Xenopus tropicalis: one gene and its partners. The protein of the gene in region 3 purifies or fractionates together with the protein of the main gene of each other region. This does not show direct contact. Links are inferred from orthologs where the notes say so. Each region holds a gene or a part of one and is shown on either strand. Other genes may lie near its edges.

Region 1 (3,277 bases), on a different chromosome or scaffold from region 3:
TCAGCAAAAAAAATCTCTGATCAGTATAATATGTTTTAGATCAAATTCAATGGCAACTTCAGTTTTTTGGTCTCTGAATTACATTTGTGTAGCATATATATTTGACATTAAAACTTTTTTTTTCATTTTACAGCCTGAGCTTGTGTCTACACCCAATTTTGTTGTAGAAGTTACAAAACTGGATACCAACCACACCCTGGTTCTTGACTGTCACTATCCAGAGGATGAGGTACACACAACTAAAATATAAAATGTTTTGTTTTGCATTTATCTGTTATCCTTTTATATGTATGTACAGTTAAGTCTGCAACCATTCTAATGTCAATGTGAGTTAGCATTAGGACTGCCTGTGCAGCTGACATATTTGGATCTGAAACATCTGTTAAAAAAAAAAAAAAAAAAAAATAAAAAAAAAAAAAAAAATATATATATATATAATATATATATATATATATATATATATATATTAATTAGCTCATAAGTAGACATCAAGCAAGGCAATTTTTTGGGCCTCACTGGGCCCTTTATCAAGCCAGCACTTTACAGTTGCGCAATATTTTATATACTGAACTTCTTGGACCAGCATCTCTATAGCAGCAATGATCCAGGACTTTAAACGTGTCACAGGAGCTCCCCATCTGGGAAAGACACTCACATGCTTGGTGTGCTCTGGGCAGCTGTTGAGAAGCTAAGCTTAGGGGTTGTACCAAATTATCAAGCTGAAAATTATGTTGGTCTATCATAGAGGGAGATGCAACAGGGCTGATAAACACTAGTTTATCACACCAGTGTGCTCTGAGCAGCTGTTGAGAAGCTAAGCCAAATTATCAAGCAGAAAATGAGGTTGGCCTGTCATATAAGCTAATGCTAAAGGTCTGATTATTAAATTCTAATGCTAATTGCAGTGGTTTCAGAGCTGCCATATATTGTATATTGTGTGTCTGTCCCTAAGCCCTAAGTAACTGATAGCAGCACAGAGCATGTGTTGTTAATCAGCAAAAAAGAAAATGGGGAGTTACTGGGGGCACCTTTTGGAGGGCTGAGGGACTGTTTTTGCCTTGGGCTGGTACAGAAGCCCAAAACCTTATTAGAAATCCAGAAGCACACCAATAATTTGAACTGTGTCAAAATGTGATTTATTTATTTTACATCTGCAAAAAGGGCCCCTCTAGGCCTACTTCTTTCATTTGGCTATAGTTCTCTTTTAAGGGTTCTAAAAGAATTGATAGCACTCTTTCTGGTACCCTAGTTTGGGTATGCATGCTCATGGGAATGAAGATCCTGCAGACTACAAACCTTTCCTTCTGTTTATGCAAAGTTTAAAAATCCTGCCTTCCTTCCACAATTTTTCAGTATTGCTTCTCAAGGAATGCTTGTTACTTTTTTCCTGACTATGACTTTATTTATAAACCTCTTTACAAAACAAATGTGTGGTTAAATAAAGTTGTTTTTTTTTCTTGTTCAAAATTAAGGTTGGACATGGGGAAGAAGAGGAAGAAAGTGACATTTTTACTATTCGGGAGGTTAGCTTTCAGCCCACAGGAGATACAGAATGGAAGGAGAACAGCTATACACTTAACACTGATTCACTTGACTGGGTTGGTATAGCTTTTTTAAACCAACATTTTACATTTTCATGTCAAAATCCATGACCAACCCACCTGGTGGGTATGGCACCAAAGGCAGATTTGGGTACTTGAAAACCATGTTTTTTTGTTTTTTTTTAGTAGGCCACATAAACTGCAAAAGCACCCAATGACTTCTGTGTGAATCTCTAACAACAGGCTTTACTTATGTACTTAACTTATTAGTTGTCTGAAAACATGGGAAAGTTGTCTTGCAAGTGATTCGCATAGAAGTCGATAGGTTTTTTGGCTGCTTAAATCACAAATTGTCCTGTGTGCCATAGCCCTTTGCAGGATCTTGTACTGTCTAGAGGTCTTTAGACTGTCTTGAAGCTAGTCTGATATTAAAGCGGAGGGCTTTGTAGTGGTAATATCACTGGAGAGGCTGAGGTATAGATGGTGATGTCATGAGCAGGAAGGGACCTTAAGTTTGTCCTGCAACCTGCCCCATGCATCAGTAATATCTTCTAAATTGGCCTCAGTTTAGCAACCATTTGTTGGTTTAAAATATTGTATGTTAAGTAGACTGTTCTGATGATTGGTTACTGACTTGGTCATAATTGCACCAGTGTCCCTGCTTAAATATCAGGTAAAGACGTTGTGATAACTTTGTATATTAACTACTGGTGTTTGAATCTTTTGTAGGCCCTTTATGATCACTTAATGGATTTTTTGGCTGACCGTGGAGTGGATAATACTTTTGCTGATGAGCTAGTGGAACTAAGCACTGCTTTGGAGCACCAGGAATACATCAAGTTTCTAGAAAACCTTAAAGACTTTGTTAAATGCTAAGAAGACATTGAGAAGCAATCACCTTCTGTTCTAAAGGTTGCGGCCAGAGGAGGATCTTGTTGCATGTCATCTTGCATAATGGACATTTTAAATCTGTGGGATGTGTTGTAAAATCGGACAGATTTAAAATTGTGAAAAGGCAAGAGGTTTTTTTTTTTGTTTTTTACATTCTATAACAAATGTCAAAGTATGTAGAAAACAAAATCATCCATAACAAAAATGGTGTCTATTGATGTAACAAGATTTGCTTAAACCCACTTATGTTTAGACAACCCTTTTGTTTTTTTGCTTATGTAAGGCTTCATCTATTATTTTTTAATAAATATATTTCAGAAACAGATCTAACTTCTTAAAACTTAATTAAGTTTATTTCTGTGTATTGTTTCCTTATATGCCTACACCATTTTCATACGTAAAGGGACAGCATAGACCTAAAAACACCTTCAGTTTTTTTTAGAAAATTTTTTATCTTTTTCCAACTTATAGAACTTTTCGTTATGTCCACGATAATTTCATTAAAATTCCACAACTTTTTTGTGGTTTTCGTTAACTTCCACAGAAAGTCGTATTTTTCGCAAAGAATACAACCATTTCAGAATTCATTCAAGCTTTGGTATCGTGGCTATCTTTTGGCCAGGTTTGATCTGTAGAGTGCCATGGAAGGCTTCCAAAATCATACATTGAAGGTTTCAAAGCCAGAAAGGTTTTTGCGCCGTTTACGAATGTTCAGATCCAAAAATTGTGACTTTCAGAACACAACCACAATATTTTCGTACGACCAATAAACGATTTTCGTGACATTTTCGAACATCAGAAATTATTGTGGTTACTCCAAATTTTTGGCATATCGTGATTTTAAC
Region 2 (3,500 bases), on a different chromosome or scaffold from region 3:
AGACCTCAGCTGTTTAGCAGGGAAGATCTGTGCCTACAGAGATGCCCCAGTAGCTCCCTATTTTCTTTTCTGCTGATTCACTGTACATGCTCTGTGCTGCTGTCGGTTATTGAGCTTAGGGAACAACTCACAATATACCGTAAATATAGAATTTAAATGTGGTGATAAAAGGATTTTTAGTAATTCAGATGTTAATTGCACTTGTTTCAGAGCTGCCATATAACATGAAAAATGTAATCTTTAGCTTCAGCTTATGACTGGCCTTATTTTCTGCTTAATTATTTGGCATGGATTCAAAAAGGAATACGGTAACACAAGTTTAAAGGATTTCCATGCAGGATTTTATTGGCGAAGTTTTGTGTTGGCGTTGTTGTTGGTTTTTTTTTTTTTTTATATAAATACAAACATATTTCATTTTGAAATTTCACATAGGGCTATGCATATTCTTCTTTTTCCAGTGTGCCACAGCCATGTGACATGTACTATGATAAACTTCAATCAGAATTTACTGCTGAGCTGCAAGTTGGTGTGATATCACCCCCCTCCCTGCAGCCGATCAGCAGAACAATGGGAAGCTTGCAATATAGCTGCTACCTGTATTGCTAAGTGTTGGGTTTTTTTTCTCTACTATTAGGGCTCTGGTACACGGGGAGATTAGTCGCCCGCGAGCAGGGAGTTTTGCCGCGGGCGACTAATCTCCCCGTGTACCAGAGCCCTTGAGTGCTAGTCTGATATCTTATCACTTGGGACTCCTCCAGTTACACTGAGCAGAAGAAACAATAAGTTACCTGAAAGCAGTTCTAATGTGTAGCGCTGGCTCCTTCTGACAGCTCAGCACAGAGCATTGAGATGGCTGTCTACACAGCAATATTGCAACTAACTGTTTACATAGCAAATAAATCATGCTACCACTGTTATTTAGAAATAAAAAGTACACCATAAAAATCATAACAATACATTTAACTATACTTTGCCCATAGTGCCACATGTGTTAAAAAAAACATTTTTTTGAAGGACAAGTAGCTAAGTGTGCTGTAGCCACACACATTGGTGTTCTAGTTTTTTTTTTTTTTTTTTTTTTTTTTTAATTCCAAACATGTTCAGAGGTCAGTTCCACAACATATCTGGTACTCTGCTCTTTAAATCCAAAATGTTTTAGGTTATTTAAATATAAAACTTTACCATTGTGTCTTTTTTATTACCCATAACTTTTCTCAGATGGGTTCTGTTACTACTTTCCTTTGCCAGTAAAATTTTAATCTGTAGATATTCAGCTGATGCCAAGATACTTGCCAACAGTTTTCCACATCTAAGGCTGTCATAGTATGCTAGAGCTTTGTGTGCGTCAGGTTGCTGCACTAAACATTTCTTAAAAATTTAGAAGAAAAATTGTGAAAACAGTCCGTATTAAATACATATACTGTTAAATTTACTAATTGGCAGGATTGTATGTGTGATATATATAGTTATGTGTTAGGCATTCTTTAACAGTTTCTAAAAATGCCATTACTAGTTTTTCTTTTTGGCAAAAAATGAATGCAGTGCAGCTGTCAAATGTACTTTTACAAAGCTGTATGTGCAGTCATACATAAAATAAAAGTAAATGTTCTGTTCTCTCAAAGTAATTGAATGCAATGGAGGAGTTTTGGAAGAAGAGGTAGCTCTTCCGCCTGAGCATGCAGCAGACCAGGAAGTGCCTGAGGAAGCTGTATTACCAGAACCAGCCCCAGGGGAATTTGACTTCAATGAATTTTTCAATCTGGATAAGAGTGTGCCAGGACTGGCTTCGGTAAGTCCTGGAAGCACTTTAGCCCATGGAAGCATCACCACATCTTGCCCAACTTGCTAGATCTAGAGGGGAAAGATTTTCATATTGTAACTTCAAATTGACAGTCATGCAGCAAGACTTGATATGTTTCCTGGGCTTGTAATTATGCATGTTTGTTTGGTCCTTTCACACTTTGGTATGCTCACACTGGTGTGCATGAGGGGTGAAGTGTGTTTACCTGGCCTGATATCTCACTTAATAGCTGCTGTTTAGCCCACCTGTATGTATTTGATTAGAACATGTCATTTTCTTGGCGCTTTTTTTTTTTTATTTTTATTTTAAATTGACTAAAACATGAATGTTTTTTGTTTGAGTGGCCCTGCTTATATGGAGACTTAGTTTCTGTGTTGTGTAGAAGTTTTTTACTTGGGTAAACCTCTTCTGTGCATAGTATTGTGGGTTAATGTATACATCCTGCCATTGATTGAAGGACTTCTCTATTGCATCTGAATGGAATACACCTCAAACTACCTGTAATGTTGTGTGCTTTTGTTTCTTACCATCTTCTAGAGTGACAAGTTGGTGCTTGTTTCTTCCCCTTGCTTACATTATTGTGGTTTTTAGGATTTCCATCATTGTCTGGTGACTGATACCTTTTTGGTGAGCCAAGGTGCCATTGCAGAGGATAGAATTTTGCTTCTGCTTTTTGTTTTAACTCTGTGGAAAGAACTGCTAACCTGTGATAAATGTTACCCTGACTTTGCATAGTGACATTATTTGGTGTTGCATACCTGCCAGTTTTTTTTTTTTTAAGAGGTTTGTAAGTTGTAGGTTCAGTCAGAGCCTTTAACCTGCAGCTTGGGTTAACAGATATGCCGTTCCCACAGAACAGTTACATCTATAGCAAGTAAGTGCTTTTCCCTCCCAAATCAAGCTCAGCCATGGGTTGTGTTTTTTTTTTTTTTATTCTTTTTGTTCATGCATGACATAACATATATTCTGCCTTGTAGATGATAGAGGATGTGCTTGGAGAAGGATCAGTGTCTGCAAGCAGGTTTAGCAGATGGTTTTCAAATCACAGCCGCTCTGGAAGTCGGTCCAGCAGTCTAAGGTCCACCCCCCATGAGGAGCTAGAAAGGTTGGCAGGTGAGTTAGTATGGGAAGAAGAATTAGACATATTTCTAAAACTGCTTATGCTTAACGTTTTTAACCATCTTTTGGAAAAGGCACTACTCTGGGATAAAGTTTTTTTTTTTTTTTTTATTCACCCCCCCCCCCCCCGCCAGGCTTGGAACAAGTAATTCCTGCCCTTGGGCAAAATTCTGGAAACTACTTTGCCCCCATTCAGTTTGAAGAGCGTTCTGACAAAGTAGACATTCTGGAAATCTTACACAAAGCCAAAGTTGACTTGAAACCATTGCTCTCTAGCCTAACTGCCAATAAGGAGAAGCTGCGAGAAAGGAGTAAGTTAAGAAAACGGGCTGTTTTGTGTGGGGTTTTTTTTTTTTTTTTTTTTTTTTTTTAAGGATGTTTTGAGTCTCCTTTTCGTAACCTCTAAAATTCTGCTCTAGCGCACTCCGGGGTGGTCTTATCTGTGGAAGAAGTTGAAGCTGGGTTTAAAGGATTAAAAGTTGAACAGGAGGGAAAGGTTGCAACTCCATACATGGCTGAGCAGTTAGAAGAAGCTCTGACTGCAATGGCTGGTCCAAGAAAAATCCGGAAAGATGGAGAC
Region 3 (3,500 bases):
CATGTGCAGTATGAAGCAAGGAGGGAAAGGAAGGGAGAATACCTTTTTAGAGATGGCTGCCTGTTCTAGAAAATGTGAAGTAAGTGTGACTGAGTAAATATTTCATTAGGTGAGCCAAAAGTGTGGCGTTTTTACTAAATAGGAGGACTATTGGGCAGTATGCTTTTTAAATTTTGACTTGCATTCTCCTTTAAGAGAGGAAAAAACAACAGAAGTTAAAAAGCAGAATTCAAGCCACTTATTCCTCTAGAAAACAAAAAAATTACATACTGAGCCAATTTTGTACCTTTTCACATTTGTAGTAGAAGGCATTTTTAAAATATCTTTATAAGTCACAGGTATACTTTTATAACACCAGAGGGCTCATATACATAAAATGTTCAATACTTCAAGTATCTACTTTAAAACAAATTATTAGAAGGCTTAACAATAATAAAATTGAGATATAATAAAATACACTCTTATAGTTCTCCATCTTTTAACATTGGGGTTAACCAGATACCTGGACAATAGCAGGATCCTGAGGCAAGGAACACTGAGGTTTGGGTGGCTCACAGACTGTAAGGTCTTTAATATCACTTCCTCTGAAAATAATATATTCAAATACTTCATCCCGGGGAGGTATAGGTCGGTCAGTTGGCCGGTCCTCTGTCCCAAATGATCGAACTAGAACAAAAAATAAAAAAAAAACAGGAATCGTCTTTGAGTTGTTAAAAGTACAAGTACAATGCAGTACTACCGAAAACCATATCTTGTTTTATAAGAATTAACATTCATCTTCTACAAAACTTGCAGAAGTAGCTATGGATATGTGTTGAAGTTTTGTTGAACTTTTGTAGAAGATGAATGTGGAAGGCATTCCATATCTGTATTTATTTATGGGTCTACAGTAGCCATGGATAGTTTAATGATCTAATGAAAAATGGCTTTCCCTCTTAACTTCCACAGAGGGTAAAGTTTATGATGTGTGGCAGGTTTACAATCTATGGCACCTCCAGCCCCTAGACAACCAGCAGAGCAGAAAGAGACAAAGGCTCTTCTCCAGTGTTGTACAACTTCTGTGGTACCGAGGGCTCAGAATGGAAGCCAGTTTTGACCACCCACTTCAAACTACACCCATGTAGTCACAAGAGCTTTTAAGACCATACCCGTATTAATGGTAGTAGCGCAGCAAAAACTTGAATGGTTGGTGCTATGTGAAACAAGTTTATTATGTCTTATTAAAAGGGGACCTGTCACCCACACATAAAAAAAGCTACATAATAAAAGTCCTTTAAAAATTAAACATGCAACCAAAGTTCTTTTTTTAATTAAATCACCCATACCGGTTATAAATGTATTTAAAAGTCTGACCTGTCAATCATATATTGCCTGCCCCAGGCAATATATGATTGACAGCTCAGATTTTTAATTACTATTGCTTTAACTTTCCATTCAGCCCTTCCTCGATATCACCTAGATGGCAAATGTAGAGATTTTGGGGTGACACAAAGCTTTGCCTTAAAATGGCGCCAGCCTGCTGGCTGTGATTGTAAATTCCAGGACTGAAGGGGAAAAAAAATAATGTATAAAGTTTATTTTATTCAACTAACATGATAGAAAAGGATTTGGAACTATTTCTTAATTATAATTAATTCTTATTGGAGGCAAAACAATTGTATTGGGTTTAATTATGCTTAAATAATTTAATATACAAAGTATAGAGATCCAAATTACGTAAAGATTCCTTATCCAGAAGACCTCAGGTCCCAAGCATTCTGGAAAACAGGTCCCATACCTGTACAACTTGAGTACCGTATATACTCGAGTATAAGCCGATCCGAATATAAGCCGAGGTACCTAATTTTACCTAAGAAAACTGGAAAAACTTATCGACTCTAGTATAAGCCTAGGGGAAATGCAGCCGCTACTGCTAAGTTGTTTTTTTTTTTTTTTTTTTACTGTCAGGCAAGTTTGGGAAGGCTAAGGAAGCTGCCATACTAAGTAATGATAGTAATGATAAGATGGAAATCCAAGCAACTGGCAAGTTTTGGTAAATATCATATATACACTGAGTGGCAGCATTATGTGCTAGAAAATATTGGCCTCTGTTCTCATAACATAGCTACAACAGTTAACTTACTCCTTGTCCTTCAGGCCCCCTGGCTCATCTGTATACTGAGACACCTTCACTGCGGTTCTGACTCCTGAGACCATTACATGGCTTAGAGGGCACAGCTTGCAAAATGCTGGGAATTATAATGGTCATTGCACCAATTTTTGTATTGCTCGGGTTCCACCCGATCCTCTGTAGCCACCTATAAAGCCCACAAGCCCCCTGGTTCATCTGTATACTGAGAGGCCGTCCAGCATAGGCCGGTGGCTTTGAAGGGGAGAGGAGGAAACCATATTTAGCCCAGTTAGGATTTATATATTTCTTACCTATAGCTGCGAGGAGAAGGGGTAACCCACGCTGTGTACACTCCCATAATGTCCTTCCAGTGCATGAAGCCGGCGAGCGCGAATGTGCGTACACACGCACGCAAATAACACAATACAATGCAGGCAGTGGGACTTGTTATACGTGCGTGTGCAGGGATTGCCATCTTCAAATCTATATTACTCGAGTATAAGCCGAGGTCGACTTTTTTAGCACATTTTTGGTGCTGAAAAACTCGGCTTATACTTGAGTATATACGGTAAGAGACTTTTACACTAACTATAAAAAAAAAAAAAACAGCTTTTGCACATGTCAAGATGAAACACCCTTCTAATCTGAATAAGATAACTTTGCAGCAACTGGAAGGATCAGCGTGTTCATAGTACTGTGTGTTATTTATATAATATATATATATATATATATATCAAACCCAGGGTGGCATTCTGCTTCAGCTCTTAGCTCGGGTGCAAGGTAAATGATTTAAAATATCCAAAAAAGACCAGCAACACCGAGTTATATTCCAAAAACAGTCAATTGTGTATTAAAAACGCATGAACAGCCAATGTTACATTTCGGTCCCCATCGGGACCTTTCTCAATATATATATGTATGCTAAAAAGCATACAGACCTGTATTACCTATATTTTTCTATTTAGGTGGATGGGAGGCAATTACAGGTTGCTGAAATGCCTATAGGCTAATGCCACACGGAGCAAATTCTCAGCTTGTGGATAAACACAAGCCAAGAATTTGCCCCTTCGCTTGAAGAATTTTAAACTTTTGCCTGCTCCCAGAAGCAGTTTCAGGCCGGGTGCAGGTTGCAGGGTCATGTACCGTATATACTCGATTATATGCCGTTCCGAATATAAGCCAAGGTACCTAATTTTACCTAAGAAAACTGGAAACATTTATTGATTCGAGTACAAGCCTAGGGTGGGAAGTGCAGCGCCTTGTGCTAAGTTTCAAAAACCAAAATAAATACCAATAAAATTAGGATCTATCAATCTCACTGAACAAATAGAGCAGAAGTAACTAAAGTCTGAACCATGAGACAATCTGTAGTGACCAGATCCCCTTGTGC

What was found. Proteins that work in one complex are often made in the same cells at the same time.
Region 1: the proteins of lsm14a (region 3) and c1qbp purify together in Homo sapiens (affinity purification with mass spectrometry; 3 studies listed by BioGRID and IntAct, with this or other methods). This does not show direct contact. The link is inferred for Xenopus tropicalis from reciprocal best matches to the Homo sapiens genes LSM14A and C1QBP.
Region 2: the proteins of lsm14a (region 3) and eif4enif1 purify together in Homo sapiens (affinity purification with mass spectrometry; 3 studies listed by BioGRID and IntAct, with this or other methods). This does not show direct contact. The link is inferred for Xenopus tropicalis from reciprocal best matches to the Homo sapiens genes LSM14A and EIF4ENIF1.

The regions. Positions count from the first base shown.
Region 1 is NC_030678.2:105,094,770-105,098,046, reverse strand, and holds the end of c1qbp (complement component 1 Q subcomponent-binding protein, mitochondrial), read left to right. Parts: intron 1-133; coding exon 134-229; intron 230-1,472; coding exon 1,473-1,598; intron 1,599-2,270; coding exon 2,271-2,417; 3' UTR 2,418-2,777; downstream 2,778-3,277.
Region 2 is NC_030677.2:152,096,251-152,099,750, reverse strand, and holds part of eif4enif1 (eukaryotic translation initiation factor 4E transporter), read left to right. Parts: intron 1-1,622; coding exon 1,623-1,789; intron 1,790-2,778; coding exon of another isoform or gene 2,779-2,914; intron 2,915-3,054; coding exon of another isoform or gene 3,055-3,231; intron 3,232-3,339; coding exon of another isoform or gene 3,340-3,500. UniProt on the Homo sapiens protein: EIF4E-binding protein that regulates translation and stability of mRNAs in processing bodies (P-bodies). Plays a key role in P-bodies to coordinate the storage of translationally inactive mRNAs in the cytoplasm and prevent their degradation.
Region 3 is NC_030680.2:67,701,848-67,705,347, forward strand, and holds part of lsm14a (protein LSM14 homolog A), read right to left. Parts: intron 667-3,500; coding exon 503-666; intron 1-502. UniProt on the Homo sapiens protein: Essential for formation of P-bodies, cytoplasmic structures that provide storage sites for translationally inactive mRNAs and protect them from degradation. Acts as a repressor of mRNA translation. May play a role in mitotic spindle assembly.